Pelodiscus sinensis: one gene and its partners. The protein of the gene in region 1 purifies or fractionates together with the protein of each later gene. This does not show direct contact. Links are inferred from orthologs where the notes say so. Each region holds a gene or a part of one and is shown in the gene's direction. Other genes may lie near its edges.

Region 1 (8,301 bases):
TTTGTAAGGGAAACGTACTCTTCACTACAAGCAGTCAACCTAATTAATTTTGGATTCTCACATTTAGACTAAGTCTATTCCATCTCACACATCATCACAATAACAGGGTTCTTGTGCCTTCGCTCCTTTTTTAAAAAAGACATGTTTCGTTCCATGACTTTTACCACAGATATATTCAAAAGCCTGATTCTAGCTGCAGCAGGACTTTTTCTTGCTTATGGGCTAATTTTGCCTCCACTGGGTTCTGAAGACCTTTGGGGAACAGAACAGTAAGTACCCAGTGTAAACTAGGACAGCCCCAGGATTGTTTTAATTAATCCAAGTTAAAGTTGACATGGTCTGTAATACATTACAAGAACATTAAGGATGAAAAGTCAAGCTCTGAATTAGGAAATATCAGATTTAAGGATGTCTGTGAAATCTTAATTTGGACTCTTTCTGCATGTACATTATGATACAGTCTTTAATTACATGAACTCATACTATTTTTTCATAGTTTTCTAAGCATATTGGGAGTTGCCTGCTAGAAACACAAGTTTCAGAGAAGGAATTTTTTATATGATTTAAAGCCTGGGTGGAGGGAATAAGAGGCCAGGAAAGGCAATGCCTTCCCATGTTGCCCAGCTGAATCAGGCTACATTCTGCCCTCAGCACCCCCATTCATTATGGGCCCCCCAGTCTCTTGGGCCTACTTGGGCTTCAGCCCTGTGGCTACCCCTGCAAGGCTGAAGCTGTGCCACCAATCCTCCTGCGGCCAGGTAGGCTTGCGGTGGGAACCATCTATGTTCCAAGGTCAGGGGAGCTGCTTGCCCTCTTGGGCTCAGAGGCCACCTGCCTGTCCTATGCTCTGGGGAAGGCTTGGGCCATGGGTTTTGTCCGCCCTCCCTCCCTGTGCTGATGGGAGAAGGCTGGGGCCACCTGCCTCCTGCTGGGGGAGTGGCTTGCAGGACTTCAGGTGGAAGAGATAGGACTGCGGGTTTGTCTCTCCATGATTTAAAGGAAAACAATTATTTAAATCACCAGTTAGTAACAGTCTAGTATGTATAAAAGTATGAATCGTGCATTTTTAGCAGTTGCTAAATCTGGATTTTAATACATGCATGTATATGTTAATCTTATTTTATAATACTACTTTGCACTTTCCTAAGAATCTGACTCATTTTTAAACTGGGTATTAAAGATTAGAGGCAACTGAATGTTCACATGTTCAGTGTTCACACAAAGATATATGTAAGTAACTTTATCACAAAGTCTTCACTACTGAGTATTCCCTGATGCATTATTTAAATTAATTATCCTATGAGTTCTGAGTGACTGCCAACGCTATAGTAGGGGAAAAGTTAAATTGCATATTTGTATTAAATAGGTTTATAATAGCCTTATTGTAATGACTGAATGACCGGCACTGATTTCTAAAGGAAACATTAATGGTTAATTGAAAACATGCACTTAGCTAGTCTTAACATGGAGAAATTTTGACTGGAAAACCTTTTGGTATAAAGCTCTGAAAATTCTGCACAAGAATTTTCTTTTGAAAAGTACTGTATGTCTTTGAAGTAGCAAATGTGCTAACTGATGCAGGAGTTCTTGTAATTTACTTACCAGCAGAAAATATTGCCAGTATCATATGGACTTATTTAGTTAATATACACGTTCCACATAATGTATTGACCACACATATGCTGTGTAATTAAAGAGTTATCGTGCCAAAATACTTTGTCAGGGCCCAATGCAAAGCACACCAAATTCAATGGAGGTGTCTTTCCAATGATTTCATTGATCTTTGGTTAAGGCCTTTAAATCGCAATTTATGCTGACTGCAGGTAATCCAACATATAATATTGATTCAACTTTTCACAAAGATAATGAATGATTTAACAATACATCTGTAGTTTTTTCCTACTACTTACAACTGATGTAGCAACAGACATTTTCTGCTTTGCAATATATTGCCTAGTTAATTAAGGAAGGAAATTTAGTTAAACTGTTTTTCTATCAACATGTATTAAGTGAACATTTTTCATCAAAATGTGTACTAGCCCCTATTTGAATAAATGCAGTCTCTCTACTCTGTGAATATGCAAATGAGGCAAATGAATGTTTGATGCACCAGCATGCATGCGTATCAGGAAATACGTTTAGATTTGCATGTACCCTTTCTTTTATGTGGAACTGGATGCTTTCACATAGGAAGGTGTGTGGTAATCAAACTGGGTATTTGCACATCTAACAGTGAGTGCTTGTCTGCATATGGGGGTATATCTGCACTGCACAGAAGTGTATGACATGTCTAAGGTGTGGGACGACAGGCTTTGGGCATGTTGAGTAAACGCAGATCTGAGGGAGACTGAATATGGGCTATTCCATATCTAATGGATCATATATGGACAGATATGTCAGATCATGATACATCAAAAGGGAGTGTATGTACTTGTATAGCACAGGTCACTGCAGGTTACCTGTACTGCTATGTCTCACTGCATGTCTAAGGGAGTGGCAATGGTAAATATTAGGGATGTAAGCGACTAGTCGAGTAGTTGACTATCCTTATCGGGTAGTCGAGTGACTGCTTGCTTTCCCCCACTCCTTGCTGCATCTGTATTAGATGCAGCAAGGGGCGGGGAAACAGGAGCCGGTGGTGGGGGAAGACAGCTTGAAAGCTGGCTGCCCCTCAGCACCATCTACATGGTGCATGGGAGCCAGGGGTAGCAGAGCAACTATTCAGTCCCAGCTCCCACCACCCAGAGAACTAACCCTGCTGCAGCTCTGCACTTTGCTGGGCTCTTACTACATTTAAAATGCAGAGCTGCAGCATCCTAGAGGGCAGTGTGAGCTGGGACTGTTCAGTCCAGGCTTGCACCGCCCACAGGAGCTACCTTGGGGTAACTCACCATAGGGTTAGCTCCTGGGAGTGGTGACTCTGCACTGCACAGAAGTAGGCTCTTACTACCATTAAAGTTCAGAGCTGGAGTGGGACCACTCCCCCTGTTATCGGCTATGGGTACGTCTAGACTGCATGCCTCCTGTGACAGAGGCATGTAGTCTAGACATACCCTAATTGAGTAGTTGATGGAAATTCCATAGGCTACTTGATTAGTCAAGTATCAGAGGGGTAGCCATGTTAGTCTGAATCTGCAAAAGCGGCGAGGATTCCTGTGGGACCTTATAGACTAACTGAAGTGTTGGAGCATAAGCTTTCATGGTCAAAGACCCACTTTGTCAGATGCACGTACTGCATGCATCTGACGAAGTGGGTCTTTGCCCACGAAAGCTTATGCTCCAACACTTGCTAGTCCAGTGGTCCCCAACCTTTAGAGGCTGCCAGGTGCCAGGGGGCGTGGCCGTTCGCCTGCCGGGTGCCAGAGGGAGGGGAAACATGCATGCCGGCCCCCCCATAGCTGCGTGCTCCCGGGGCTGGCGCTCCTCCTAAGCGCCGTGCGCCACAGGCCGGCACCCCCTCCAAATGCTGCACGCCCGGGGCCGGCGCCCCCCCCTGCAAGCGCTGCGCGCCCGGGGCCGGCGCCCCTCCCCTGCAAGCGCCGCGCGCCCGGCGCCCCCCCCCCCGCAAGCGCCGCATGCCCGAGGTGCGAGCAGCCAATTCGCGGCGCTCCCGGGGTTGGCGCTTACCATGCGCCCGGGCCAGCTCCGGCACTGTGCATGCACCATGTGCCCGGGGCCAGGCCAGCCCTGAGCACTTGGTGGGCGCACACAAATGGCACCGTGTTGGGGACCATGGAGTTAGTCTATAAGGTGCCACAGGACTCCTCTCCGCTTTTGATTAGTCAATTAACTAATATTTAACATCTCTAATAAATATGGAGCAATTTTATCACAGATCTTGCAATATTTCATATTTCTCTTTAATCCTCAGGTTCCTGTGATTTAGTAAAAATCTCTGCTTTCATTAAGTAAGTGCAGAAACTAGAAATTAAAAAAGCTTCAAAATATGTTGCATTTAAAAAAAATTCGAGATCAAAACAGCCTCCCTCTCCCTTACCCCACCTTCCGCACTAAATTTGATTTGTCAGTTTAATAACATGTTCACTTTTTTCATTGTAGTCCTTTGGTATATATATGGCTATGCCAGTTCTCTTCCAGAATATGATCTGAGGAAGTGGGTCTGGCCCACAAAAACTCATCATCTATTAAACCATCTTTTTAGTTTTTGAAGTGCTACGTAGTTTTTCCTTTTGTTTTAGCAAGATCAGACTAACAGGGCTACCTCTCTATGACTATGAGACAGTTAAAGTGCTTAGTCTGTGTAATAATTTACAATGAACCAATGTCCCCAGCTGCAGCACTAGCAAAATGGCTTGGATGTAATTATGTAATTAACGGTGAGTTTCCATTAGCGACTGGTGGCCTGACTCTGTATGGCCCTTCTTATGCGCTCCAGCCACTGCTGACTCTGCTCCCTTAGCCGGCTCCTGACCGCCGCCTTCGCTCCCCGCTGCTGTCAGCCGGTTACTGAAGGATCCAGCCAATCAAGTTGCCTTACCCCACACCTGGTTAAATTCTACCAATCGCTAGACTCGGATGATTTCACCAATCAAACCCAAGCATTCCTCCGCTCCTCCTCTCTCCCCTCCCACCTCGTCTCGGTAGCCAATCTTCATCGCGGGCCTAAAGGGCTTGGCCAATCAATCCTAGCTGATCGATTCCTCCCTCACGTCTGTCCCCGCCTTCATCTGCGGCTCTGGCAAGCCTGATGGAGTGGAAATCCCCTCGTAGCGGCAGGGTTGCTGAACATGTGTGTGTTTGCCCAATAGGAGGGAGAGTGGCCGGCTCGGGGCCTTGTGGTTGGTTCCGGCAGAAGGCTGAGGGCGGTGCTATGGGTCTAGCAGGGTAGGTTTTACGGGCCGGGCCGGCTCTGAGGGGGTGGGTTACGCGGGTTGCCTCGCTCTTGAGGAGTCCCGTGAGGGTGTCAGGTGGCTGGGAAAGTCCCCGCGCCAGCGGCTCCGGGGCTGTCGGGAGGGGCGGCCTGGGCGGTAGCAGCGAGGTGGCTCGCGGGGCGGAGGATGAGGTGAGTGATGGGCCCGGAGCGGTCGCTCTGCGCTTCGGGGCTGCCTCCCGCTGCCCTCTCCCCCCGCCCCCCTCCTCTGAGGCGGCAGCAGCGGCAGGGTGGGGGGTGGCTGCTGACACCTAACGGTGCCGCTATGGGCGGCGGCAGCGGCCTTTTTCCAGGCTCAGGCTCGGGAGCTGCTTTGCCGGCGGGTTATAAACGCTCCCCCCCCCCCCCGGCCGGTGGGAGCGCAGCCGGCGAGCCTGTCCCGGGCGAGCTTGTCCGACCGCCTGGTCCTTGTAACAAGGGGGGGGGGGGGGGGCAGCGTTAGCTTGCCCGCGGCTCCACGCGAACTTGTGGCGGAGCCGGACCCGCTTTCCTTGCGCTGTCTCCCTGCTCCCCACGTTGCTTCGCTTGCAAATCCCTTTAAATCTCTGCACGTGCGGCGGTAAAAGCCCCCCCTCCCCGCCCGTGGGACAGCGCTCGGAGGGCTGCCGGTAGATGAGGGCAGGGTACGTGCCGAGCGCTGTCGGTGTCCCCGTTTCCCTCCCGGGTGTGTAAGGCAGCCCCTCTGTGCTTAGACTGCGCTGGCCCAAAGGCTTAGACACTGGCTACAGAGCAGCAAGGTGAGATTTGGCTTCTTTTCGTTATGATTATTTTAAATAAACCCAACGGCTGCATCTGGACTGGCAAGTTTTTCTGGAAAAGCGGCCGCTTTTGTGCAAAACCTTGCCAGCTGTCTACACTGGCCGCTTGATTTTGCGCAAAAGCACTGACCTTCTACTGTTTGAAATCAGTGCTTCTTGCGCAAATGCTTTGACATTCCTGGGCAAAAGCCCTTTTCTGGAAATGTTTTTGTGCAAGAGGGCCAGTGTAGACAGCTAAAAACTGTTTTGCGCAAAAACGCCCCGATGGTGATCGGGGCTTTCTTGTGCAAAACCGCGTCTAGATTGGCATGGACGCTTTTCCGCAAAAAGTGCTTTTGCGGAAAAGTGTCCGTGCCAATCTAGACGCTCTTTTCCGCAAATGCTTTTAACGGGAAAAACTTTTCCGTTAAAAGCATTTGCGGAAAATCATGCCAACCAACATGTATCTTGGAGGTAGGCTATCTCCGTTAGGCCCTGATCCTACAGTTGGCTCTGGTAACTCCTGCAGAACGTTATTTGAAGTCAGTTGGGTAAGAGGCTCACACTCTCAGATCTGTTTGTAGGATTAGGATTTAGCACTATAATGATCTGTGCTTTTTCTCAGTTGCCCACTGAAATAAGTGCTGTGTAGAAGGGCACTGATTTTGGTCAGTTCGGCTCACAGGTTTACTGTAATGATCCTGGCCACCATTCCTCTATTATATATACAAAATTGAGAGAGTCTGTCTGAGTGGGTTCAAGTCATCCTAAATGTAAAAGCTAGGACCAGCAAATATGGTATGCAGATGCTGCTTCTTATCATAATTTCAAAGCAAGGTAAGGGTTTGGTTGTGCCAGAACAATGGGATTTGCCTGAAATACTATGGGTTCTCATAAAACACAAAGGGACAAGTCTGCTATAGGCTCAGTTATGCTGCGGAATGACCACAGGAGGGCAGGTCCACTGATAAGAGAGTGGCTGGCCGAGGGCAGGATTCTTGATGTTGCTGGCCACGATAGACAGATAAGGTTCCTGTGCTGGTGAGCTGGCCAACCTCCTGCACCCTTGCTTCCCCTTTCCTGAGTCCCTTCTTATCTTCCAACTCTGACTCCTGCACCTCCATACCCCCTGCCTCTAGTACCCCCAACTCTGAGTCCTGAACCCTCGGCCCCCTGTCCTGAGCCCCTCCTTAATGACCCAAGCAACACTGGGTAAATGTGCTAGTGCTATCTAGTTAAAAGTTTAAACAGTATTTTCATGTGTACAAATGTTTAAGAAAAAAGGGTAGGTTAATCGAAAATGAAAATCGGTGTTTAAAAAAAGTAAGCATTTAAAAGAGGAAATGTTTAAGTATATTTTATGCTACTCAGGAAACAAACTTTAACAAGAATAAAGAAATATATTAAGTCATAATCAAGAACATTAAAACTGTTTTCGTCTTTTATTTCAAAACATGAACTCTGTGCACAGCCCTGCTGAATTGGAGATAAATGCCACACTGATACACAAATGTCATCCCCAAATCAAGTCCATGTACCTAATATATCAAACAACTATAGTGTAGTGTTTTCTCTTTTAAACACATTTTTATCTAAACATTCTTTTTGAAAACTGAAAAATATGTATTTCATATTTTACAGTATTAAAGTTAAGTAGCAAAATCCAAACAGTAAAAATAAATTTTAAAATGTATAATTTATTGGTCTGTTTTTAAGATTTCTCTTAGCAATGCTAAGCATTCTTTTAAAAGGCATATTTTTATTTCATTCAGCATTGCAAATGTGCAGCTATTGACTTCTTTGGACGCTACTTTGTCTAATCAACGGATATAGCTTCTTGCGCTTAAACGTATTTTTCAGGCTGTTTGACTGTCATGGTGGTTCTGTACATGGAGTTATTAAAAACATGGTATTTGAAGTGAGGAATCTACAAGAGACAATCTGAATCAGGTTCATCCAGTTTTCCCCACTTGTTCTGTAGTTTGAGACAGGGCAATAATTTGAGTATGTTCATGGTGATAGGAGATACAAATCACATTTCTTAGCCCAAGTAATGCTAAAGCAGAAACAAAATTCTCAAATTTCAGAACAAATTTTTTATTCAAGTGAGATGATTCTCTGTAACAGTATATGTGAGTGACTCCAGGGAAGAAAGGGGTGGGGAGATATAGGAAAACTTCTAACTGGACCGGTTCGTGGGTGAAACTGCACATTTGAGCCACAATAAGTCCCACTTACAAAGTTTCAGTCACTTGCTCCTATTAGATCTTTCCTGTTCGGAAGATGTTTTCTCTCTTGTGTCTCAACCCGTTTTGATACTAAGTTAGGTTCAGATATTCCAAACATGGCTATGGTAAAAGACCCTAGATGGATAGAAAATATTCTTAAGTTTGTCATGCAGGAGTGAGACAATACTGTTATACATTCTGTTAGGCACAGTGCATAATATTCAACAATGCATTGCTATGCAATGTAATAAATCACATATGCAAATGCTCACAGGGTAAGTGTGGAAGAGTGGGTGGCAAAAGGGATGGAGAGGTTTGTAGTGTAGGGAATGGGAGGAGCAATTACGAGAGAGAGAGAGAGAGATATATATATATATATATATATATATATATATATATATATATATATATATATATGGGTGGGGGTCTTGTGATATGGAGTGGG
Region 2 (7,850 bases), on another chromosome or scaffold:
AGGAATGCTGAGTCTTATGCTTCATAGTTTAAATTCTTCAGTGCAGGACACACCCTGTCATGTCATATACTGACTAAGTTGTGTTATTGGTGAGTTTCATCTTCCTCTGAAATGGCAGGCATTGGGCATTATTTGTCTATCACCTTATGAGTTACAATTTCATCCTGTAAATCCTTTTTCACTGCACAAAAGGGAACATAAGGCTGCTGCACTGCAGTTAAGTGTGAGCAGCAGCTATGTGTGGGTGCAAGTACTAAGCTCTGAGAGCCAGACTGTAAGCCCAGTGAAGTCACTATTTGAACCCAACGGGGTAGGCGGGTGCCAGCCCACCCACTTCTAAAAGCCCCTCCCCCAGCCTTGCAGGAGGGACAACTGGGCCCAGGGCTCAACTAAATACGAGGGACAAATGATGAAAAACAGGGTCAAGTGGTGCGGGTCAAAGGTTTAAAATGAGGGAACCGGATGGGGACACTGCTCCTCAAAGCTGTTTATGGAGCCAGCGGACACTGCCTAGAGGAACTCTGCCTAGATATGTGACACAAGGGTGGAACGGAAGTAGGCCCCACAGTTGCAGAGCACCCCCTCATCCAGCATTCTCCCCCTGGTATTATATATTGCGGCTTTTGCCAGAGCCAGAGGAGGTTGGCAAGGAGGTCTTGTGACTTTGTGGGGCCATGGATGGGGTGCGCATAAATAAAAAGGTGAGGGGAAAAGTGCAGCCAGACCCTCAGCAATAGGTTCTGGAAGAGCTGGAAAAGGGGCTGCAACCTGGTGCATTCCAGATATTCATGCACCAGGTTTCCCCTCACGCCGCAGAAGGGGCAGGCGTCTGGGACGGGGGTGAACTGTGCCAGGTATGCACCCATGCTCATGGCTCCATGGAGGAGCTGCCAGCTGATGTCCTCAATGGGATGTGGGATTAAGGTGGAATAAACACTGGTCCGTCGGGATTCCTTACCTTCAACTGATCTTAAATAATCCTGCCATTTGGTATCGGAGCGGGACACGAGGGTGAGGAAATGCAGTGTGTGGAGCATGAGCGTGTACAGATGGTCTCTGGAAAGGCGGGCCATGAAGGAAAGGCGGGCTGCCAATGAAAAGACACCCATTGACTGGAATGGGCTTTGAATCAAGCCCCAAGTGTAGCCCTGTGGAATGAGCAAGTAATAAGCATCAAGCCGCTTGCATGTCTACCCCATTGCCACAGTGCAGGGTAAAAAGAAGCAATGCTGGGGAAGAATGAGCACATCTGAAGATCTCAAATAGCATCTTTACCACTCTCATGAAATATTTTGTCAAATGACCTTTGAGCTTTAATTTTGCTATTAGGAAGTTACTTGTCAGCCATGCAGAATCACTATCCTTAGTGCAGAACTGGGTTCCCCTGAGTACTCATTACACTTCCATATGCAGCATTTCAGCTGAGAGATACAGGATCAAGTTTTTAAGAAACAGATTGTCTGATCCGGTACAGTAACTCTTTTGTGTTAAGGAGGACTTTTCAGAGGAGTAAAGTTCTGGAAAAGCCTTCAAGGGGAGCAAAAAAACCTAACTGGCTTCAAGACTGAGCTTGATGTTTATGGGGAGAGGGGATGGTACAATGAGACGGTCTACAATGGCATGTAGCTGATCTGCAACTGCAGGAAATATCTCCAATGGCCTGTGATGAGACACGAGATAAGGAGGATTTTGAGTTACTACAGATAATTCTTTCCCATGTGTCTGGCTGGTGGGTGTTGCCTATAGGCTAAGGATCTAACAAGACTGCCATATTTTGGGTCAGGAAGGAATTTCCCCCCAGGTCAGAGTAGCAAAGATGATGGGTTTTTTCTCTTTCTCTACAGCACAGGGCACAGATCACTTGCAAGTTTAAACTAATGTACTGTAAACTCTCTGTAACTTGAAGTCTTTAAATCATGATTTGAGGACTTCAGTAACCCAGTCAGAGGTTGGGATCGATTACAGGAGTGGGTGGGTGAGATTCTGAGGCCTGCAGCATGATGGAGGTCAGATTAAATGATCATGATGGTCCTTCCTAGCCTTAAAGGAGGTGTGAGCAATAAAACAGTGGTGGTTGCCAGGGTTAGCCCTTGGCAGGCTGCTGCTGCTATATCTACCTGCGCCTCCACAGATACCGGCAATCGCACCTCCTGCTGCCCGCGGATGGCCGTTCCCAGCCAGTGGGAGTGGCAGGAAGTGGTGCAGACTAGGACACTGCTTCCTGCAGCTCCCATTGGTTGGGAACAGTAATCTGTGGACAATGGGAGCTGCGATCGCCAGTACCTGTGGAGGCTCAGGTATTTGCCCACCCCTGCCTTAAAATCTATGAGTGACTGAATGGAATAATGATCAATCTTTTCTTTAAAAAAATAAAAAAAGCATCCTTTCCTAACAAGGATGGTGGCAATTTATGTATGGAGCAGTTTGCAGATATTGTCCTAACCCACTGTCCTACTCTGCAGGATTTAAGTAAAACTTTGAATGCTTCACAATTAACTTTTGGTGGGGAGGAAGTTAGAGAGGAGAGTAGTGTGAAATGCAAATCAGGAAGGCAGAAGGAAAAATACAAGAGGAAAACATACTGTATATGTGAAGCCAAATGTTTCCATTCATGTGCCAAGTGCCTTGTCACTTAACTAGCAGAATTAGAAAATCAAAGCTATGGATACACTGCCAGTGACAGAAGGTCTCTGTTCTTTTCTCAGAACTGTGCTCACAACATGCATATTAACTGCACATGCATATCCACGGGTAGGTTTAATCCTGAGTTTAAATTCGGAACCAGCTGCAAAATAAGGACTCATTTGTAAAGGCTTTAATGGGTCAGATTTAAGCCCTTATCATATGGTGCCTGACACTCTGTCTTATAGTTTAGACTTTGCTAACGCTTTGCTTCTGCCTGCAAGTGATACAGGCCTCCTGAAACTGAATTCACTGAGTGCTTTGTCAGATGGAGTCACCTGCCATACATGGAACATAATGCACTGAAGATGCAGAGAAAGAACAACTATGCTTTTGACATTCAGAGTTGGTCTTGGAAAACAATCAGCTTCTAGTCAGCTGTAAAACACATTAGCACTTATCACCAGCAGCCTTAGAACCTAAACATTGTTAGAACAACAAGCCAGGCTTGAGGTAAAATCAGCTCCCTTCAAGCAGAATGTAAAGGAAATGGAGTTTGTTAGTTTCAGACTGATCTTAAGTGGAACAAAAGGTAAATGATCCTGTTACTAAAAACAAACAAATACTTTAAAAAATAGCTAAAGCAACAGAATGTAAGTAACCGTGAGCAGGCAGAATCTGCCTGGTTTTTGACATAGCCTCAAGGATGCAGGTTGTCCACATTTTAATCATTATGTTATTACTAGCATATGATTTGGGTGTTTTCTAGTAACAAACCGTCATGCTATTTTCCTCTTCATTTATCATCATGGCTGTTCTGGCTATATAAGAAATATTGACCTTTTTAGAAAAGGATAATGCTGTTGTTATTCTGTGGCTTTCAAAGCAATTTATAAAATAATTGTCTCATGATTTGTCAATAGATTTCATTGTTGTGAATGAGTAGCCACATTCTGCATTATTTTAAAGGATTTTTTTTTTTGCTGTAATTATGATGTAACACATTTCTCCTCTAGAAAGTGAGGAAATTGAGCTGCTGGAATTGACCTTAATATCTTTCAAATGAGATGTAAGACCAAGGCTGTGACTCTTTCGCACATTTCAAAATCCCATTTAATCCCAAGAATAAGCAGGACTAGTGACCCAATGACCCTGTCAAAGCTTTCCTTCCTCCCACTTTAGTGCAGCATCCTGTTGCCTCCCCACATGTGATTGTTTTTTAGAGGTTCTGCTGGATTGCTATGCGTGTCCCAAGAAATAGTCCATGCTATGTTGCCAACTCTTGTTGTTTTATCACAAATCTTACAATATTTAATGTTTTTTTCCTTAGGCCTCAGTTCCTGTGTTCTTGTAACTGCATGAACATTTCAATTTTCATTTAAAAGCGTGTTTCTAGCTCAAAGTTTTAGAAAAACGTGGAAAATGTGAACCTTTATGAGCTTTTAAGCTCAAAAATAAAAATAAAAATAAATTATGCACGCCCAACTCTTGTTTGCAAGTCTCATGGTTTGGGGTTCTGAATGATGCTGTTTGAATACATCACATTGGTAATGCATTAGAAATTTTGGAATCAGACTGACTAAAGCTCATCCTCTTCTCTGGCTCTCTGTGGAACAAAGGTGATGAAGTAAACACTAAAGCAGGTCAAAACTTGAAAACAGTGTTTTTTCCATTTCTGATCATTTTCTGACAGTTAAATCATTTGCAGGTGGGTGGCCAGGTCAGGATCGGAAACAGCATTTATTTTTCAAGATGGATTCTGTGGGGTGGCAGCTTTGTCCTGTTCCGAGGCATTGGTTGCAAAGGAGTTTATCAGTCACTGAGGCCTGGTGTACACTACACAGTTAGGTTAATGTAAAGCAGCTTACATCAACCTAATTCTGTAAGTTTCTATATTACCATTTTGCTCCCACTGATTTAAATTGTCTACTACACCAACTTAATAATTCTACCTCCATGAAAAGCTCAATTTAGGTAGATATAGATATGATGCAATATCCGTGTAGACACTATGTTGTTTACATCACATTGGCTGTCCATCCCGTGTAGGCTGATAGCTGGAGCGCACCTCCCCTCCCCATTATGGGGCAGAGCAGGGAGCAAGAGTCAAAATGTGAAATAGGAGTCCCCATGTAACTTACAAGAATGTCCTGGAGCTGGGAGCCTAGCAGTACCAAAAATCTCACCTGCAGATGAGGTTTCCAGGGCTGCTGCCACTGTGGTGTGAAGAGTTTGTCAGCCTCCATAATCCTGGCTCCAACTGGGCACTTGCAGGCTGGCTGCAGTATTGAGGGCATCTACCAACTCCAGCTGTGAGCTCCACACCAGACCGATTGCTCTGCCTGCTACCTCTACAGTGGGTGAGTGGGATCTCCAGCTGGCAGTGCTCCCACAATGCCCCACTTTACTCATTGGAAGTACTCCTGGTAGGGATGCACACCACTGACGAAGGAGCATAGTGCGATGTGAAACATCATTTTAATTACAGTTATGGCTGTACATCAGCATAAAGTTGACTTAATTTTATAGGGCAGACAAGCCCTTAGCTAGTGCCAGAAAAGCTGATCCATCTTCTCCCTCACCTAACAAGGCTCTAGCTCTGTGGTGTCCAACCAGTTCTTATAGCAAACTGGTCACACTCGGCCAGTCAAATAGCCACATTGTTCCAGCCAACTAGTCACACTCAACCAGCCAAATAGCCACATGTGGATAGTGTGTTAGACACCGGGGCTCTAGATGAAGTACCTGGGACTCTCATTCAAGCAGGGCTGGTGCAACCAGGCACATCCCAGGACTATCAGCACCTGCTGCCAGAGCTGCCCTGTTGTGAAAAGCCCAGTTTTATCCAGCAGGCCACTTACAGCCTGGGCCCTTGCTGGACAGGAGTAGTCAAGCTACAGGTGGCCTTGCAGGTCTATAGGAAGAGCCCTTATGGTAAGAGGCCAGGTAAAGAAAAAAAAACCTGAGGAAGATACTCTAGCCCTTTAAATCCTTCTCTATGACATCACACGTGAAGTGACGTCCCCAAAGAAGCGCATGCGCAATGACTACGGACCTCAGTAGTACGTCACTTCCTCCGCCTAAACTGATTTGCTGCCCGTGGTGGCTGCCACTGTTTCGCTTTTATTGGAGCCAGGAGCATGCGGTTGCCTCGCTGGGGGGGAAGGGACAAGAGAGAGGGACGGAGGGCTGCCTTACAAGCTACAGCAGTGTTTCCCGAGAGCACCGCGCATGCGCCAAAGCCCTTCCGGGTCCTTGTGCTTCCCCTCTCGCTCCCACAGGGGTCACTTCCGGCTGCTTGAGGGAGGGCGGGGGTCTGTATCCGGGTCACCGGCGGCTTCCTGCAGGCGGGCGGCTGGCCGCGGGGCGCGCTACGGCTTCCCCTCGTTGCGAGCTGTGAGTGGGGAGGCCCCAGCGGGGGAGAGTTCCGGGTGCGGGGTGGGTCCCGCGGGTGCCTCCTGGTCGTAAGCCCTGCGGGTCCTTGTCGGGCCCCTCTCCGCCCGGCTCTCGTGCGCCTGCCGGTGCGGGGTGCCCGGCCTGCCCCGCTGCGGGCCCTGGGTTCGCTTTCCCTGGCTGGGGGAGGTTTGGGTAGCCCCGCCGAGCACAGGTGCGGAAGGGCCAGAGAGATCTCGGGCTCACATTGGCGTCCCCCGGCCCCTGGTAATGTACTCGGAGACTTCCTCCTCTTGGGGGGGGGGGGGCCGCTAGGCTGGGAGGAGATGCCTCTAAGGGTGCAAAATCTCAGCCCAGGGAATGATGCTGGAGCAGGTATGTCCCGTGTTGGGCAGGAGGTCAGACTAGGTGATCCCGGTGGTCCCTTCTGGCCACTGTGTGGCCTATGCAGAGAAGGATGGTCCATTGACTGTCCAATCCACAGCAAGTTTTGCATAGGGTCCTACGGGTGTAGTTACATTGCAGAAACAAATACCTGCCCTCCAGCTGTCTCTGGCCTATGCTGGGGCGCTAATGATAGTCATTTAGCTAGCTGCCCCTGCCGCTCTGAAATCATGGGAGTAGGAGAGAAACTTCAGAGTTTGAGTTCCAGATCAGTTAGGAACATTTGCATTGTTCCTTTTAGTCCCAGTTGACCCAAGCTATGAGGCTTCATGATGTGGTTGGTCAGGGTTGGCTTTTGTTTTCCTTCAGTGTAAATGGACTCTGAAGTTAGAGAGAGGATGGGAGCTCGTGCAGGTAACTGATGGACAGCAGTGATTTATAATAAAGTGTCTTGACTTTGTACCAGACACAGGAAGGTTCTGAGGCTGAATTAGCAGCAAAGTTGACTGACAAGTAGCACTGGAAGAATATTCCAGGAGAATGGTCTCTTTGAAAATGTAGAATTGTCAACATGTTAAAGGCAGTGCCAAGGAGAGAACCTAGCTTTTCTCAAACAGTATACCATGGAAACCAGATTGAGAAGGTTGCCAGGTTAGAGCAAGCTTTCACTGTATTAGGTATGGGTTTAGGCTTTCACTATATTACCTATAGGCTCTCAAACAGATTGAAAAGGGAATACCAGAGTAAGTTATTTTATAGGTTCAGATGAATTTTTTAAAATCTGCATGCTTGATGAGACCCTGGTGTGTGAGCCTCTCTAGCCCAAATTGTTATTCATAGAATCATAGAATCATAGAATAATAGGACTGGAAGGGACCTCGAGAGGTCATCGAGTCCAGCCCCCCGCCCTCAAGGCAGGATCAAGCTCCGTCTACACCATCCCTGACAGATGTCTATCTAACCTGTTCTTAAATATCTCCAGAGAGGGAGATTCCACCACCTCCCTTGGCAATTTATTCCAATATTTGACCACCCTGACAGTTAGGAATTTTTTCCTAATGTCCAATCTAAACCTCCCCTGCTGCACTTTAAGCCCATTACTCCTTGTCCTGTCCTCAGAAACCAAGAGGAACAAATTTTCGCCTTCCTCCTTGTGACACCCTTTTAGATATTTGAAAACCGCTATCATGTCCCCCCTTGGGCATGGAAGATGCCTGTGGGTTTGTGGTAAAATTATTGTGACAGTTCAGCCATATTTCATGTTGAGTTGCTCAGTGTAATAAAAGCTATGTTCTCACTGTCTGGGGCAAGGAATTCCACTTACTCAATAGTTCTTTGAATCAGAACTTTGTATTTTGAATGGTGCTAGCTTGAGTAGTTAATATGGCAAGAAATAGCAGGGGGATTTTCTTCTGCTGGTCTGGGGATTTTTCTTGTCATATGCTTTAGAA
Region 3 (7,445 bases), about 29 Mb from region 1:
CACACCCCGCTGTGCCAGCACCACGCTGCTCCCACCAACCCCCGCCGCAGGCTTCGGGGTGCCCGGCTGGCATGGCGCTGCCAGGAGCACACACCAGAGCCAGCTCCCCCACCCCGCCCCCATGGCTCTCCCGGCAAGCCCAGGGCTGGAACCGGAGCCACTCATCCGGGCCCCCCGCCGACACAGCCACGGCTCTGCCCGCGCTGTCCCCAGCCACCCCCCACCCGTGGATCTGGACGGAGCCTTCCCTGCCTGAAACTAGCCCTTGGCGGGAGGGTGCTGGCATCCGAGATCTGTGGGGCAAAGGGCCCCGGAGCCAGGCTGCCGGGGGCGGGGGACGCGGGCCTGGCAGCGGTTCAGGCAGGTACGTCTGAAGGGAGTGGGCCTGGTTTCCGCCTGCTCTGGCTTCGCAGGGCACGTGTCCTTCCCAGTAGCAGCACCGGAGAGCTGGGCACACGCCGCCGGCACAGGAGACGGACGAGGGGCGCCTCCCGGCTCGGCAGCTGGCTCGGGCAGGCGACAGGCTCAGCCAGGCAGAGGCGGCACCGTGTACCAGTGCACGGGGGCAAGGGGCCAAGGGCAGCCACCCAGTGCGGGCAGAACCCCCCACCGGCTCTGCCAGGGCACACGCCCCTCTGAGCTGGGAGTGCGTGCCCAGGCCAGCCCCTGCCCTTTGCTCGCTAGGGCGGGGCAGGCGAGACAGGCTGGGCTGAGCAACACAACGGGGCAGCCGGCACCCCCAGCAGGTTTCCCCTCGCTCCTGCTGGGCGGGGGCCTTTCCCCACCCAGCCCCCGCTGCCTGGCCAGGACATGGCAGCTCGGCAGCCTGTTCCTGTCCCCGAGCCAAGTGTCTGCAGCCCTCCAGGAGCTGTCAGAGGCTGGGGCTCGGTGGGAGGGAGCTATGGGTCAGCAGCTGGGGTCTAGGGCGAGGCTCTGCTCACCCCAGGGGTGTTCCAGCCGCTGGAAGGACCCCAGAGCCAAGGAGCTGGCATCACAGCCAGGGCGAAGCCCACGCCAGCCCGTATGCCGCCATGGTGGGAAAACAAAGCAAACTAAGTCCCCAGTGTCACCGCTGCCCGACGCCCCTACCTCTCTCCAGCAGCGCCCTCACGATCCCGGACCCCACCGTGCCAGCCCCTCCGAGCACCACCACGACTCGCTCCGAGGCAGACATCCCGGCGCTAATGGCAGAGCCAAGCCACGGCCAGCCACCAACCAGCCTGTGCCCGTCCCAGGCAGGGAAATAAGTAGGGAAGTGCATTCCTAGCTCCACCCCCATCTCCCCTGGCCACACCCACTGCCCACTTAGCCCCACCTCCTGCATCTGCCTCCCCCCCCTTTGCCTCCTGCCTCAGGGCTGCTCCCTTAGTTCCAACTCAGTGGCCTGAGACAAACACCCTGCACAGGCCGAGTGCCTTGGGCAGCCATAAGCATCCGAGTGACAGGCTCCCTCGCCGGTCGCTGGGGGACCCCCCCGCCCCCAGCTCCGGTCTGCCTGGTCCGGGCCAGCCCTTCCCTCGGCCCTACCCCCTGCCGAGAGCCATGGCTAGCCAGGCCCTGCCCCTCGCTCCCTCTGCCCGCCTCGGTGGGCTCCTCGCGCGCCCCGGTGCCCGGAGCCAGCGCCGTGTGCGGCTGCAGATTGCCAGGGCCCCCTGCTCTCGGCTGTTCCTCACTGCCCGCTCCCTCCTCTGCCTCCGTCTCCACCTCCCTCTGGGAGTGCCCAGGGAGCCGCTCCTCGTGTGCGCCTGACGTCTCTTCGCCCGGGCCTGCTCCCAGATGCTCCCCGGCACGCCCACGGCTCCCTCCTGGCAGGGCAGCCTGGGCCCTCCCTGCTGCCTGGGTCTGCCAGCGGGCGGGGGCAAATCGGGGGGGGGGGTGGTGATTCCTTTACACTGAGGCTGCCCTGTTGCCTCCTTTGTTCTCCGCTCTCCTCAGGCCACAGACCTGCCTGGGGCTCCCGTTCCTCCCTTCGCACGGTGGCTCCCGTCTCCCTGGCTCCGCGCTCCTCTGGCTCGCCCCTCTCTGCGTGGGACACAGCCGGCTCCGCTTCCCTCACTGTTAGGGCTTGTCTTGCACACGAGGCGCAGCCCGGAGCCAGCTCCATCGCCTCCCCTGCCCAGCCTGAGCCTGCCTGCTTCAGCCTTCCCACCGCGCCCCAGTCCCTTCATCTCGCCGTGGGGCTGTGCGCCACCTCTGTGACGTGCCCCCCGCCTGCCCCACGGCCTGCCCCCCTCCTACGCACAGAGCAGCACCGTCACCTGCCCATAGGTGGCCATGGGCTTGCCTGGGCTCCAGGGCCCAGCTCAAAACGGCCCAGCCAACCTCCTGGCTCCTCTTCTGGCTCCGGCCCCCTCCTCTCTGCCTGCCGCCGGCCCTCGGAGAGCCCTCTCCGGCCCTCGAGGATCTCTGCCACCTCTTTGCACCCTTGTGGGCCCCTCTGCTGCAGCGCACTCAGGGGGAGGGGGACAGTGTAAGCCCTTGCCCCCCAGGCATGGGGTCAGCAAGCCATGTGTTGGGGGGAGGGAATCTGTCTATTGGAGGTCGGCTCTGCGGGTCCTGGAGCCAGATTGGCCCCCTCCATAACCCCTCTCCAGTGGGCACAGCTCCCGGCCCGGGTGCTCGGCTCCATGGGCTGGCTCTAGCACCGGGTGCTGGAACCAGGAGCAGGCCCACTGGTGCCAGGCTGGCTGAGGGTCCCCAGCTGGCCAAGGCTGGGCGGGGAGGGGCTGCAAGGCACTTGCGTCTCCCCTGTGCTGAGAGCGTTTCCCGCCTTCCACCGGCGACCAAACACCAGCCCCGCTGCAGGGCGGGCGTGGGGTGGTAGGACGGCGGCTTCCGGGCTGCAGAGCCCCTGGGACGAGGGGGGGCATCAGCTGGCGAGGCAGGATGTGGGTGCCCTAGGGAGCCCCTGGCCGGCTGGGCATTACCAGTGGGGCCAGTGGTTTCCTGCCCTCCCCAAGTGGGGGTGTCCTGGGGTGGGCTGGGGGCTCCGCCCAGGGGTCGGGTGGGATGGGGGGCAGAAGCCTCTGGGTGCCCCGAGTGTGGGGGCTCTGGGTGGGGGAGGGGAGTCTGGGCATGGGGGGAGCGGGTGGGGGTCCCCAGGAGAGGCGGGGGGGTGTCCTGGGGTGGGCTGGGGGCTCTGCCCAGGGGTCGGGTGGGATGGGGGGCAGAAGCCTCTGGGTGCCCCGAGTGTGGGGGCTCTGGGTGGGGGAGGGGAGTCTGGGCATGGGGGGAGCGGGTGGGGGTTCCCCGGGAGAGGCGGGGGGTGTCTGGGGTGGTCATGGGGGTCTCTGCCTGGGGGGCCCAGGAGGGCACGTGGGAGGGGCAGGAGGGTACCCGGGGGGGCCAAGTGGGGGCGCCCAGGGGACGGGCATGCGGGGGGTCGCTGTGCGGGTCTCGGGCCAGGCCCCGCCGCCCGGCCCGGCAGGGGCAGGGTTAACGCCCAGTGGGCGGGGCTTCTTGCAGCCCCACCCCTCGACATGTGACGTGTCCTGGCCCGAGGGGCGGGGCGAGAGGAACCGGAAGTTGGTGCCCGGCGGAGGAGCGGGGGGAGCCCAGGCGGGCAGGTGAGCGCGCCCCCCCCCCCCCACGTGCCGGGACAGCCCCGGGGCAGAGGCTCGGGGGGGGTTAGGGTGGCCCCAGGCTGAGCCGGGCTCTGGGGGGGGGGGTTAGAGTGGGGCAGGGTGGCCCCAGGCTGAGCCGGGCTCTGGGGGGGGGGTTAGAGTGGGGCAGGGTGGCCCCAGGCGGAGCCGGGCTCTGGGGGGGGGGGTTAGAGTGGGGCAGGGTGGCCCCAGGCTGAGCCGGGCTCTGGGGGGGGGGGTTAGAGTGGGGCAGGGTGGCCCCAGGCTGAGCCGGGCTCTGGGGGGGGGGTTAGAGTGGGGCAGGGTGGCCCCAGGCTGAGCCGGGCTCTGGGGGGGGGGGGTTAGAGTGGGGCAGGGTGGCCCCAGGCTGAGCCGGGCTCTGGGGGGGGGGGGTTAGAGTGGGGCAGGGTGGCCCCCAGGCTGAGCCGGGCTCTGGGGGGGGGGGGGGTTAGAGTGGGGCAGGGTGGCCCCCAGGCTGAGCCGGGCTCTGGGGGGGGGGGTTAGTGTGGGGCAGGGTGGCCCCAGGCTGAGCCGGGCTCTGGGGGGGGGGTTAGTGTGGGGCAGGGTGGCCCCAGGCTGAGCCGGGCTCTGGGGGGGGGGTTAGAGTGGGGCAGGGTGGCCCCAGGCTGAGCCGGGCTCTGGGGGGGGGGGTTAGAGTGGGGCAGGGTGGCCCCAGGCTGAGCCGGGCTCTGGGGGGGGGGGGTTAGAGTGGGGCAGGGTGGCCCCAGGCTGAGCCGGGCTCTGGGGGGGGGGTTAGAGTGGGGCAGGGTGGCCCCAGGCTGAGCTGGGCTCTCGGGGGGTGGTTAAAATGGGGCAGGGTGGCCCATCTTGGGACTTTCCGGTGGCACTGGGGCCCTGCCATGCCCGGGCCCTGAGCCGCTCTCCTGGCTCTAGGATGGGCCCCAGCGCCGCGCTGCAGCTGGAGTACAGGAGGTGTGTGGAAGGGGATTTCCGCAGGGGCCGCGCGGGGGTCTGCGCTGACCCGGCCCTGAGGGCGTCGCTGCGGCAGCGCCTGCTGGAGGAGCCGGAGCTGCACCGCGCGCTGCAGAACGACGCCTTCGCCACGCTCGCCAGCAGCCTGCGAGGACAGGACGACCTGCCCCAGGCGCTCCGGGGGCTGGCCCGGGCCTTTGAGGTGCTTGAGCTGGCCGCTGTCAATCTGCACCTCTTCCCTTGGCGGAGGGAGTTCAGCACCGTCAAGGTGAGTGGCGGTGCCGGACGGGGACCGGTTAGCGGGCCGGGGTCATTCCCAGGACGTCAGCTCGGGTGCAAACCCCCCGGGAACAGAACCCTTGGAGCAGTCCCTGGTGATGACGCTGGAATTGATTAAAGAGCTTCCCTGTAATGGCAGAGGCCTGGTCTAGCCACTGGTCGGGGAGGGGCCTGGCCGCGCCCACGCTCTGCCCCCAGAGTGCCTATTGGGGGCGGAGTGTTGCTGCCCCCAGCCTCGCCGTGCTCCTGGCTGGGGAGGCTGGCACCACCTCCTCCCCTCCTGACAGGTGTGTGCCTGCTTCCCACACACGCCCCTTCCTTCTCTTCTGCCCCACCTCTTCCCAGCCCCAGGGGGCAGGGCCTCAGCAGAGGGGCAGGGCTGTAGTGGGGGTGGGGGCCTGCCTTCCCCCAGCTGCACCAATCGCCCCTGCTGGAAACCCTCCCCGTGTCTGTCTGGCTTCAAGCGAGTAGGGGCAGAGACGCTTGTCTCTGGGCTGAGTCACCGGCACAGGGTTGTCAGGCCTTCCAGTCCACGGATCTTAGCAAAGTCTTGGGGTGCCACAGAAATCAGCTTGCGGCTCAGGGCTGCACAGACCTGGGTGGTTAGATGGGCGGGGGGGGGGGGGGAGGGCACCACAGGGCTGCACTTGCCCTAATCTAACTCTGCTGCCTTCCTGGGAATTGAATTGCCTGGCGTTCTCAAGCAGGCAGTGCTGCATGGAGTGTGACACACACACACACACACACACACACACACACACACACACCCACCCACCCACCCACCCACCCCCCCCCGCCCCCCCCCGGAGGCTAATGGTGGCTGCAGGGACCACAGTTTGGGCTGTTGGGGGGTGGGGAGCTGAGAATCCAAGGTGCTCTCAGGCAGCCATGGGCTAGGTGCTGCTGACAGGGTGACTCATTGCGTCAGCGACTGTGTGGCGGAGCCAAGGGAGCTGAGATCACCTGGTGAGTCTGGCTGGGGCCCAGCGCCGGGCTCAGCACATCACACCGCGCTTGTGTTGCAGATGTTCTCCGGGGTGTACGTGCACTCCCTGCAGGCGGCGCTGGCGGACACGGACATCGCCAGGAGCTTCCGCAGGATGGGCTACGTTCGGCGAGACGACCAGCATCTCGTGGTGTCCTGCCCTCCCCCGGCTGCTGAGCTTGTCCAAGCTGCTTGTGGCTTCTTTGCAGCGAGGGTGGAGTGCGAGATCCTGGGGGAGATCCTTCGGAAGCTGGGGCCGTGCCGAGTGTCTGCTGAAGACCTGCTCCAGGTGCGGAGGGGCACCAGGGCCCTGGATGACTGTGTGGAGAAGCTGCAGGGTGTTGCCGGATGGCCGACAGGCAGGGGCCCTGGGGCCCAGGGCTGTGATGAAAGCGTTGATCTCTACAGGGATGAGCTGGAAAACCCAGAGGATTTGGTCGACCCCATGGAAGCCAGGCTGCACTCTTCCCATTGGGGTTTGTCCTCCTGGGAGCAGCCCAGGCCTCCCATCCGGGAACAAAGCCCCCCTCTGTGGAGCAAGCCTGTTGGAGGACGTTATCCTGAGGATCTCCGGGGAAACAAGGGAAGGTTCTGGGACAAGTGGGGGGCTACTGAATCTGGCTGGGAGCAGCCTTATAGAAACGGGCCCGACCCAGAGGCTGCCTCTTTCTCTTTCATGTCCTGGAGAAAGGAGCTTAGCAGGGGAAGTGACTCGGTCTCTCCTGAGCGTGCCGGGCGCACGAGCCCTTTTGACAGTGCGGTGCTGGAGCCACTGCAGGCAGCAAGCTGCCTCCAGCCCTGCTCTGCTGGCACAGCTGTGCCCTCAGCGGGCAGAGTGGCCCACAGCTGGTCCGAGACTGCAGAGAGACCCTGGGAGCCGCCACCTGGTGCCGCAGGGCTAGAGGGCAGCAGTGGGGAAGTGCCGGAGCCACCGTGCTACCAGCTGCATTCGTGCCTGAGCCGAGGTGCCCTCCCCTCGTACTGCTGTGCCACGTGCTATCTGCTCCACGCCCGGGGCTGCGAGGCCGTGCAGGCCTGCCGGGGCAGCCACCACATGCAGGAGCTGCAGAGCGAGACCCAGAAGCGGATGTGGTTGCAGAGGACTGAGGTGGACATGCTGCTGAACAAAGGCTCTGGCGCTCGTCCCTAGCTCCAGAACAGGTTGCCTTCCCCGCGCCTGCAAATGCTGTGGGACGTGCCAACCAAATCCTACCTCGGGGTAGCATCGGGAGTTGTCCGATGCCACTGGACCTGTCCTAGAGGCCTGCTCCCTCCTGCCCCCACCCACTACAGCAGTGCTCTGTAGACTCGCCCCACACCCTCCCCCGTTGTCGCTTACTATCCCCCCTCAAGTCCTGTGAGCTAGTTCAGGGATCAGCCTCCGCTGTGTCCGTCCTGCCTGCGTAGGAAGGGCTCTAGCTTCCCTCTGCTCTGCCAGGACAGCAGGGAACTCAGGGGAAGAAGTGTCTGGATTCAGGCTGGGCCCTGGCCCCAGGCTCGTGGGTCAGGAGGAGTGGCACATACATCTGCCCCTTACTCTCCCGTCCCGCCTGGCTCAGCTGCACAGGGAGTGACTGCTCTGCTCTTGTTCGGCAGTCGCCTCCTGGGACCAGACCTTGCCTCACGAGCAGCGGTGCTTAGGGTTCTCCAGAATCCAGGATTGCTGG
Region 4 (7,702 bases), on another chromosome or scaffold:
AAAAGAGCGTCTAGACTGCAAGCAGTACTTTCGAAAAAGCAAGCCGCTTTTTCGAAAGAAAGCAGCGAGTGAGTCTGGATGCTCTCTTTCTAAAAAGCCCTGTTGGCATTCAAGAACGCCTTTTTTCGAAAGAGGACTTTCGAAAAAAGACGTTCTTCCTCGTGAAATGAGGTTTACCGCTGTCGAACGAAAAGCCGCGTTCTTTCGATTTAATTTTGAAAGAATGCAGCTGCAGTCTAGACACAGGTGAAGTTTTTTCGAAAAAAGGCTACTTTTTTCGAAAAAACCCCTGAGTCTGGACACAGCCTAAGTTCCCTCTCTTTTTCTTTCTCTCTCTCACTCTCTTTCTTTCTCTCTCACCCTCAACTAAGAAAATAAAGGCACCAGCATCTTTGGGCTTCTGGGAGGAATTCTGATGGAGGAGAGGGTAAGTCTCCATCTTGATGGAAAACTGTGGATAGGAATATCTGTCGTGAACAAAGCCTTGAGCCAAAACTTTCTAGAGTAAGTTTTATACTTTTAGCTGTCTATTCACTTTAATTTGTTTGTAACCATTTCTAACTTTATCTCTTATACTTGATTTTACTTAAAAGCCTGCATTCATTTTTAATCTAAACTAATCCAGTGCTCTGTTTGAACTGTTCAGTAACTGCAATTAAAATATCAAACTGTTGAATATTCAATAAAGATCTTAACTTGTTAACCCATTACAAAGGTAATTTCCCCTCTTGCTATCAACATTTCCACATCAATGCTGTGAATGAGACACTTCCACCCTGACTTCATTAGCCTCATTTACACAAATACCCTCTTTTTCTTTTGTTGTCTCTCTCTCTCTCTCTATATATATATATACACACACACACCCATGCCTCCATAAATTCCGTGACTCCATAAATTCCACTCCAATTTATCTGATGAAGTGGGATTTACCCATGGAAAGCTTATGCCCTAATAAATGTTTAGGGTGCATCTATACAGCAGTGTTATTTCGGAATAATGGCCATTATTCTGTAATAACAATATGAGCATCTACACAGCAATTCAGTTATTTTGAAATAAATTCAAAATAATGGGCGGCTTATTCTGACTTCTGTAAACCTCATTCCATGAGGAATAATGCCTATTCCAAAATAAGTGTAGTGTGGACACTCCACTGCTGCTATTTTGAAATAGCTCCTCCCCAGGGCCATTCAAAGTAATTACTCCCTAGTGCTTCCTGGGGCACTAAATCAAGGTAGTGCTTCTACATTGGGGTAGCCTGCCTCAGACTAATTTTGAAGCTTCCCTGTAGTGTAGATGTGCTATTTTGAAATAAGTTATTTCGGAGTATTTCTTCCAAGATAGCTTATTCTGAAAAAAGTGTGCAATGTAGACATACCCATTGTCTCTAAAGTGCCACAGGACTCCTCATTGTTTTTGCAGGAGCAACGCACCTTTAATATCTGACTTGCCCAAGTGAAAGCTGAACAGTACAAAATTCATTTCAGGGAAAATCCAAGATTGGAAATGATGTGATCATTTTGCAAGTAGTAGTAGGGTTGTCAGTCTGGGTTGGTTCCATTCTTGGAGATTTAATCACATGGCATATTTTTTCATTCCCATAGAGTCCTGGACAATCCAGGAGGATTGGCAACCCTAGCAAGACTGGTGGAAAACAGAGTGATTGCAGTATCATTGACAAGCTACTGAAGTCAACATAGCTTTACCAAGATCACAGCTATACACACACTTAGACCATGTCTCCACTTACTGGAGGATCGACACACTGGCAATCCATCTTCCAGGGTTCATAGTCCTGCTAAATCATATGCTGCGGGAGCTCCCATCAGCATCGGTACTCCTCATGAAGGGGAGTCAAGTGCAGCATTTCTCCTGTCAACCTCCCACTGTAGAGATGATGCCAACCTTGGCTTAAGGTACGTTGATTCCAGCAACATTATGTACGTAGCTGGAGTTGCATACCTTAAGCTGGCCTTCCCCCACAGTGTAGACCGGACCTCAGAGTGTGACTTTCTAGTTGTGAGCAGCCCAGGCTGGTATTACAGCAGCAAAGCATTGCGAGACACTCAGCATTATAGGGTAATCAGTGATACAACCCTTCGCTGGACTGAACTGCACCCTGGAATGTGCAGGACTTAAGTAGTGTGAGGGTATTTGTACAGTCTAGCGGTTTTCACACTGTATTTCTTGTAATCCAGTTGAAGAAAACTGTTGCTGCCCTCAACCCAAGATAATTTGACTCTGATAATTGGGCTCTGGAATAAGATTGAGGAAGAGAGCTTTGGGGTGTAGCCAGGTACTCCAGCTTTGGGTGTGACAGGACTGTGACAGGAAAGGCTTACCTTGAGCAGCTCATGGTCAGTGATGCAGAGGGTGCCAAAGGTGTCCCTAATCTCTGTTTGTAAGGGACTGGAAATGGATGACAGAGCGATTAGGGATGTAAGCAACTAATCGACTAGTCAACTATCAGATAAGCAAAAGCTTATCAGATAGTCAACACTTGGGATGTGAAGGACTAGTCAACTAGTTGCTTCACCCTCCTTGCTGCCTCTATTAGAAAGAGGCAGCAAAGGGGGGGACTGGAGAGGGTGTTTCAAAGAGGCAGTGCCACATGGAGCCTGGGGCCAGACCCTGTGCTACACACGGTGTTGCCACTTTGAAACACCACATGCAACCCAGGGCCAGCCTGGTACACTGGGCTGCACACTGTGTTTCAAAGCGGCAGTCCCATGTGGAGCCTGAGCTCAGTGGGTGTCCAGTTAACCTCAGGCTCTAAGGTGCCACTCTGAAACACCGCAGGGAGCACAGGGCCAGCGGGGGACTGCCTGAGTCTCCTGATGGCCCTGTGTGCCCCGCAGCGCTTTTGCCTTTGAAGTGTCTACCCTGAAGCTGTAGCTACACTCCAAAGGCAAAAGTGCCCTTATCAACTAATTGAATAGCCAATGTAAATTGCATGGACTATTCAATTAGTCAATTAATCAAAATTTAACATCCATACTCAACACACTATTCAACTAGTCACTTCTCCCCCTCTTGCTGCCTCCATCAGAAAGAGGCAGCAAGGGGAGGAACTGGAAGAGGTGCTGACTGTAGCCAGCTTAAAAGCCAGTTTCCCCCCACAGCTCCAGCTCCGTGGAAGTGGACAGGGGTGCAGCAGCGGTGTTCCAACTTTGCAATGTACAACAGCCCAGTAGTAACTTTTGTACATTTCAAAGTTGGAACACTGCTGCTGCACCCCTGTCCACTCCCACGGAGCTGGAGCTGTGGGGGGAAACTGGCTTTTAAGCCGGCTACCCTCAGCCCCTAGTGGGGCTCTTGTACATTACAAAGGCAGAATGCCGCCTAGTCCTTATCGACCAACCAAATAGTAGATGGAAAAATCTCATCAACTATTATATTAGTTAATTAATTGAAATTTAACATCCCTAAGAAGGATCTCTTAATAATTACGTGTTTCTGTTCACTCCCTCTGGAGCATCTGACATTGGCCACAGTCAGAAGACAGGGTATGAGACAAGATGAACCTTTGGTCTGACTGGGTACCACCATTCTTTTTTTTTTTTTTTTTTTTTTGATCTGAGGAAGTGGGTCTGGCCCAGGAAAGCTCATCATCTAATAAACCATCTTGTTAGTCTTTAAAGTGCTACATAGTCCTGTTTTTTGTTTCAGCGACACCAGACTAACACAGCTACATTTCTATTACTATTCGCCATTCTTATATTCTTAAGACAGACTCCCTGCTGCTCCTGGTACTGCAGCCTATGCTGCCTCCCAGAAGCAGCCAGCAGCAGGTTCCCTGCCAATGGGAGCGTGGAGCTAAATGCTCTGGCCAGGAGCAGTGCATGTTGCCCTGTGCACTCTCCACCTACAAGCCGGGCCTGTTACGGCCCATTTCTGGGGCACGGTGCAGCCCGTGGTACTAGGACAAACAGGCAGCAGCCTTAGCACCGCCACTGCTCGCCATGCAGCCACGAGACCAGCGCCTGCCATTGCACAGCGTAGCGCTGGGGGCGGTTGCTGTGCCCGTTGCAATCCCTCCCAGGGACGGCTGGGATCCGCCGTTGGTACACGAAGCCCCGGGAGCCGCTGCTGGGGGAGCTGCTACCAACAGCCGCTGCGCTTGGTGCCCCACTCGGCGCTTGAGTCCCCCGCGGCGCCGGGCGGGGCCGTTCCTAGGCGCGTGTCCCAGGCGTCTGTGCGGCTCGGAGGCGGCTCCCCCTGGCTGCCGGGCGGCTCTGGCGGGGGGGGGGGCGGAGCTGGGCCGCCGCCGGCCGCGCACGAGGGGAGGAGCCGGGAGGAGCCGCAGCCGCCGCCAGGCCATGGCCCCGCTCCGGCGGCCTTAGCAGCAGCCGGAGACTCCCCCCCGCCCCCCGGCCGGGCAGCAGGAAGCGGCTCCCCTGCCAGTAGCGGCGGCCGGAGCTCGGCTCTGAGCGGCGCCTTCCCTCCCCGCCGGGGCTGGCGGAGGCCGCGGGGCCCCGCCCCCGGGGCCGTCCCGTCTCCTCTGCTGGGGACGCGCAGTCCAGGCGAGTCCCAGGCTCCAGGGAGGCCGCGGCCTAGGGCGGGCGGCGCGCCCGAGGCGCAGGATGCGGAGCGAGGCCCCCCCGGCTGGGGGCTCCGCGCGGCCCCAGTAGCCCCGGATCGCCGCGGATGCGGCCTCGCCCCGCGCGGCGGCCCAGGAGGCGCCTCCGCCAGGCCCTCGCTCCCCAGAGCCTGTGCAGCGGGGAGGCGGCCCCCCTGAGCCGCTCCTCTGCCCCGGCCCGGCTCGGCCGGCCCTGCCCCCTCCTGCCCTAGTTGACAGCGAAGGGATGTCTGCTGCCGCCTCCGCTGAAATGATCGAAACTCCCCCGGTCCTCAACTTCGAAGAAATTGACTACAAGGAGATAGAGGTGGAAGAGGTGAGCGAACCTCGTGCTCAGAGACTCCCCTTTCCTCCCTCTGCACAGCTCCCTGGGGCTCGTAGGGCAGCTTTCACCCTACAGGACCCGAAAGACGCTTACAAACTAGATAGGTGTTGTGGTCCTGGCAGGCAGCCAGCTGCGGGGAAGTGGGGAGAAAGGAGGGGCGAGAGTGGTAGTCAGTTGGCACAAAGGTGTGGGGGTGATAGTGAAGATTCTGCTCATAGACACCGAAGCAAAACCCCAACCTTATGAGAGAGGCCGTGAGACTACTCACAGGCACGTAGAGCTGAGCGTTGTATAGTAAATTCTGTGCTATTCTCCCTCTCGGAAGTGTCTAAATACTGCAATAATGTGCATAGAAAACATGTATGGCTAGATGCAAGGCTGTTAACCTGAGCTGCCAGGGAGCTTAGATATTCCAAACACGAAGCAAGAATCATAGTGTATAGGTGAATTTTTACTTAAACAGTCTAAATTTAATCCAGACTTTGTGGGACTTCTATATGTTCTGATTAACTCACTGATCATAACCACCCAACTTTATCACTGTCAAATGGAGAATTTTTAAACTATATTGTAATGCTTCCATTTTGTCTGTGTCTATTTTTGTAAGTCTCTGTTCTCTCTTCCACCCATCCGATTCAATGTACTTATTATACACCCATTACTATGGTATCTATCTGATGATCATATCCCAATTTTTTATGTCTACATTATCATAAGCATAAAAGACTCCTTTTAGATCTATTGAACTAATGTAAGTGATGGTACAATCCAGTGGCTGTTAAATTAACATCAGTACATGTGTGACCCTTTATTGCATTTGGTATTGATTACTTGTGACGTAATTGTCCATTTATGTTGTACTTAGTTTGGGGGGGGGGGAGTTTCCTACTTGAGTGTTTCAGCGAAAGATTGGCTGTGGAAGAGCTGACTTAAATTCTTTGAAACTGGTATGCAGTTGATTAAGAAGTAGTTCTGATAAAAGTATTTGTGGCTTAGTTTGGTTTTTATGTGGAGGTAAATTCTCTAGAGCAATCTGTTTTCCAGAAAGGTTCAATGGAGATATATTAACGGCTCATTAAGGCCCTTATCTTGCAAGTTGTTCGATTCAACTGAATCCCTCCATCCCTGTGAAGTCTCTGTTTAAGTCAAGTTGTTGTACATGGGCAGACCCCCATTGAACTTGGTAGGATTTACATATGCTGACTTGCAGAAAAATTAACTTAACAAACATTGGCATCATTATAATCTATGTGTTTTTAGCTCTTTAGCAGATTAATTACTGCTGAAAGAAAAAGATCTTTTCTTCTGACTGATAACTATACAGATGTGAACTTAGACTTGTATAGCACCTTTCATATATGTGATAACCAGTAGTTCTGAGCTTTACAGCATCATTTGCTAAATAGTGATAGTTAGCCTGCATCCACAGAAGTGTATTTTTGGAGACTATAAACAGTTTTATTGAAAAGTAATGTTTTCCAAGAACACTGTTTGCAAGGTATCATGGTATCTTTGACTTTCACCTTGAGTCACCAGAAATCTGTAAAAGGTACTTTAGCTTTAATCAGTCTTTAAAATTATTTACTGTTTCCCTTTCTACAAACAAGATAACCTATATCAGATGTTCTCAAATTGGAGGGGGAGGGAATATATGGAATATATTGAGAGGCATGAGAAGCTATTAGGGGAGAGAAACTTTCTACTGAAATTTACCCACAGCATTAAATAAAGTAGAAAATCAGCATTACGAATGCCCTAGGAATGGAGATTGTTCACCACTCTTAAAATGTTGATAACTCTGAACAAAACCTTATGGTTCTTTCAAAGGTTACAACTAAACATTTACTTAATAGAACTTTGAAACTGTACTGTGCAGAAAAACTACACAGTCAACCACTGGTACTCTTTGCCAGAGGATGTGGTGAAGGCCAAGACGCTAACAGGATTCATAAAAGAATTAGATACATTCATGAAGGATAGGTCCATCAGTGGCTGTTAGCCATGATGGGCAGAGATGGTGTCCCTAACCTGTTTGCCAGAATCTGGGAATGGGATAGATCATGTGATGATTTCTTGGTCTTTCATTCCCTGTAAGGCTCTTGGCATTGGTTACTATTGAAGACAAGATACTGGGCTTGATGACCCTTTAGTCTGACCAAATAAGGTGGTTCTTATGTTCTTATGCTGCTTTCCTCCCTTCTTAGTAATTTACATTTCACACAATACTGTACAGTATTTGCTTTTTGTGTGTGTGTCTCTGCTGCTGCCTGTGTACCTCCCATTCCAAATGAGATGTGTGGTGAACTGTCAATTTGTAAATCTGTTGTTCATAACTATGAAGCCTTTTCTTCTGTGCTATTGCTGGCCACAGCACTGCCTTCAGAGCTGAGCCACTCAGCTCTAATGGCAGCACCACTGCTACAACAGTGAAGTAAAGTTGGCAATGCTTGTAAGCAATATCTCACTTAAATATTGCTATGTACTTAAATGACTCTGTTTGAATCAGTGCCCTCTTGTTTATAACATTTAGTGAGAGTTAAATGTAGATTGTGTTTTTTATCAGTATATGTACTTGTGTGGTGAGAGAGCTTAAATTACTACAGACATAAAGAATGGGGGGCATGATTTAGAATGTAAAATCCTGTTAAACTGGTTAACAATTAAATAATTGTTAAATAATTAAACTGGTTAAACATGTGCAGGGAGGGAGTCCCTGTGCTATAGTCAAGGGCTGCTCCAGCCCCATGCTTCCAGCCCCTCTCTGGGCTGCAGGATCCCAGCCCATGTGTGCTGGA

The links.
Region 2: the proteins of CYLD (region 1) and SPATA2 purify together in Homo sapiens (affinity purification with western blotting; 10 studies listed by BioGRID and IntAct, with this or other methods). This does not show direct contact. The link is inferred for Pelodiscus sinensis from reciprocal best matches to the Homo sapiens genes CYLD and SPATA2.
Region 3: the proteins of CYLD (region 1) and SPATA2L purify together in Homo sapiens (affinity purification with mass spectrometry; 3 studies listed by BioGRID and IntAct, with this or other methods). This does not show direct contact. The link is inferred for Pelodiscus sinensis from reciprocal best matches to the Homo sapiens genes CYLD and SPATA2L.
Region 4: the proteins of CYLD (region 1) and MAP3K7 purify together in Homo sapiens (affinity purification with western blotting; 4 studies listed by BioGRID, with this or other methods). This does not show direct contact. The link is inferred for Pelodiscus sinensis from reciprocal best matches to the Homo sapiens genes CYLD and MAP3K7.

Annotation. Positions count from the first base shown.
Region 1 is NC_134722.1:31,411,330-31,419,630, forward strand, and holds the start of CYLD (ubiquitin carboxyl-terminal hydrolase CYLD), read left to right. Parts: upstream 1-4,863; 5' UTR 4,864-5,023; intron 5,024-5,307; exon of another isoform or gene 5,308-5,628; intron 5,629-8,301. UniProt on the Homo sapiens protein: Deubiquitinase that specifically cleaves 'Lys-63'- and linear 'Met-1'-linked polyubiquitin chains and is involved in NF-kappa-B activation and TNF-alpha-induced necroptosis.
Region 2 is NC_134728.1:19,620,875-19,628,724, forward strand, and holds the start of SPATA2 (spermatogenesis-associated protein 2), read left to right. Parts: upstream 1-4,692; 5' UTR 4,693-4,982; intron 4,983-5,691; exon of another isoform or gene 5,692-6,018; intron 6,019-7,850.
Region 3 is NC_134722.1:2,496,791-2,504,235, forward strand, and holds the start of SPATA2L (spermatogenesis-associated protein 2-like protein), read left to right. Parts: upstream 1-4,334; 5' UTR 4,335-4,389; coding exon 4,390-4,782; intron 4,783-5,818; coding exon 5,819-6,928; 3' UTR 6,929-7,445. Other genes in the region: L-fucose dehydrogenase-like, read right to left, coding at 1,090-1,324.
Region 4 is NC_134713.1:65,051,761-65,059,462, reverse strand, and holds the start of MAP3K7 (mitogen-activated protein kinase kinase kinase 7), read left to right. Parts: upstream 1-4,244; 5' UTR 4,245-4,808; coding exon 4,809-4,898; intron 4,899-7,702. UniProt on the Homo sapiens protein: Serine/threonine kinase which acts as an essential component of the MAP kinase signal transduction pathway. Plays an important role in the cascades of cellular responses evoked by changes in the environment.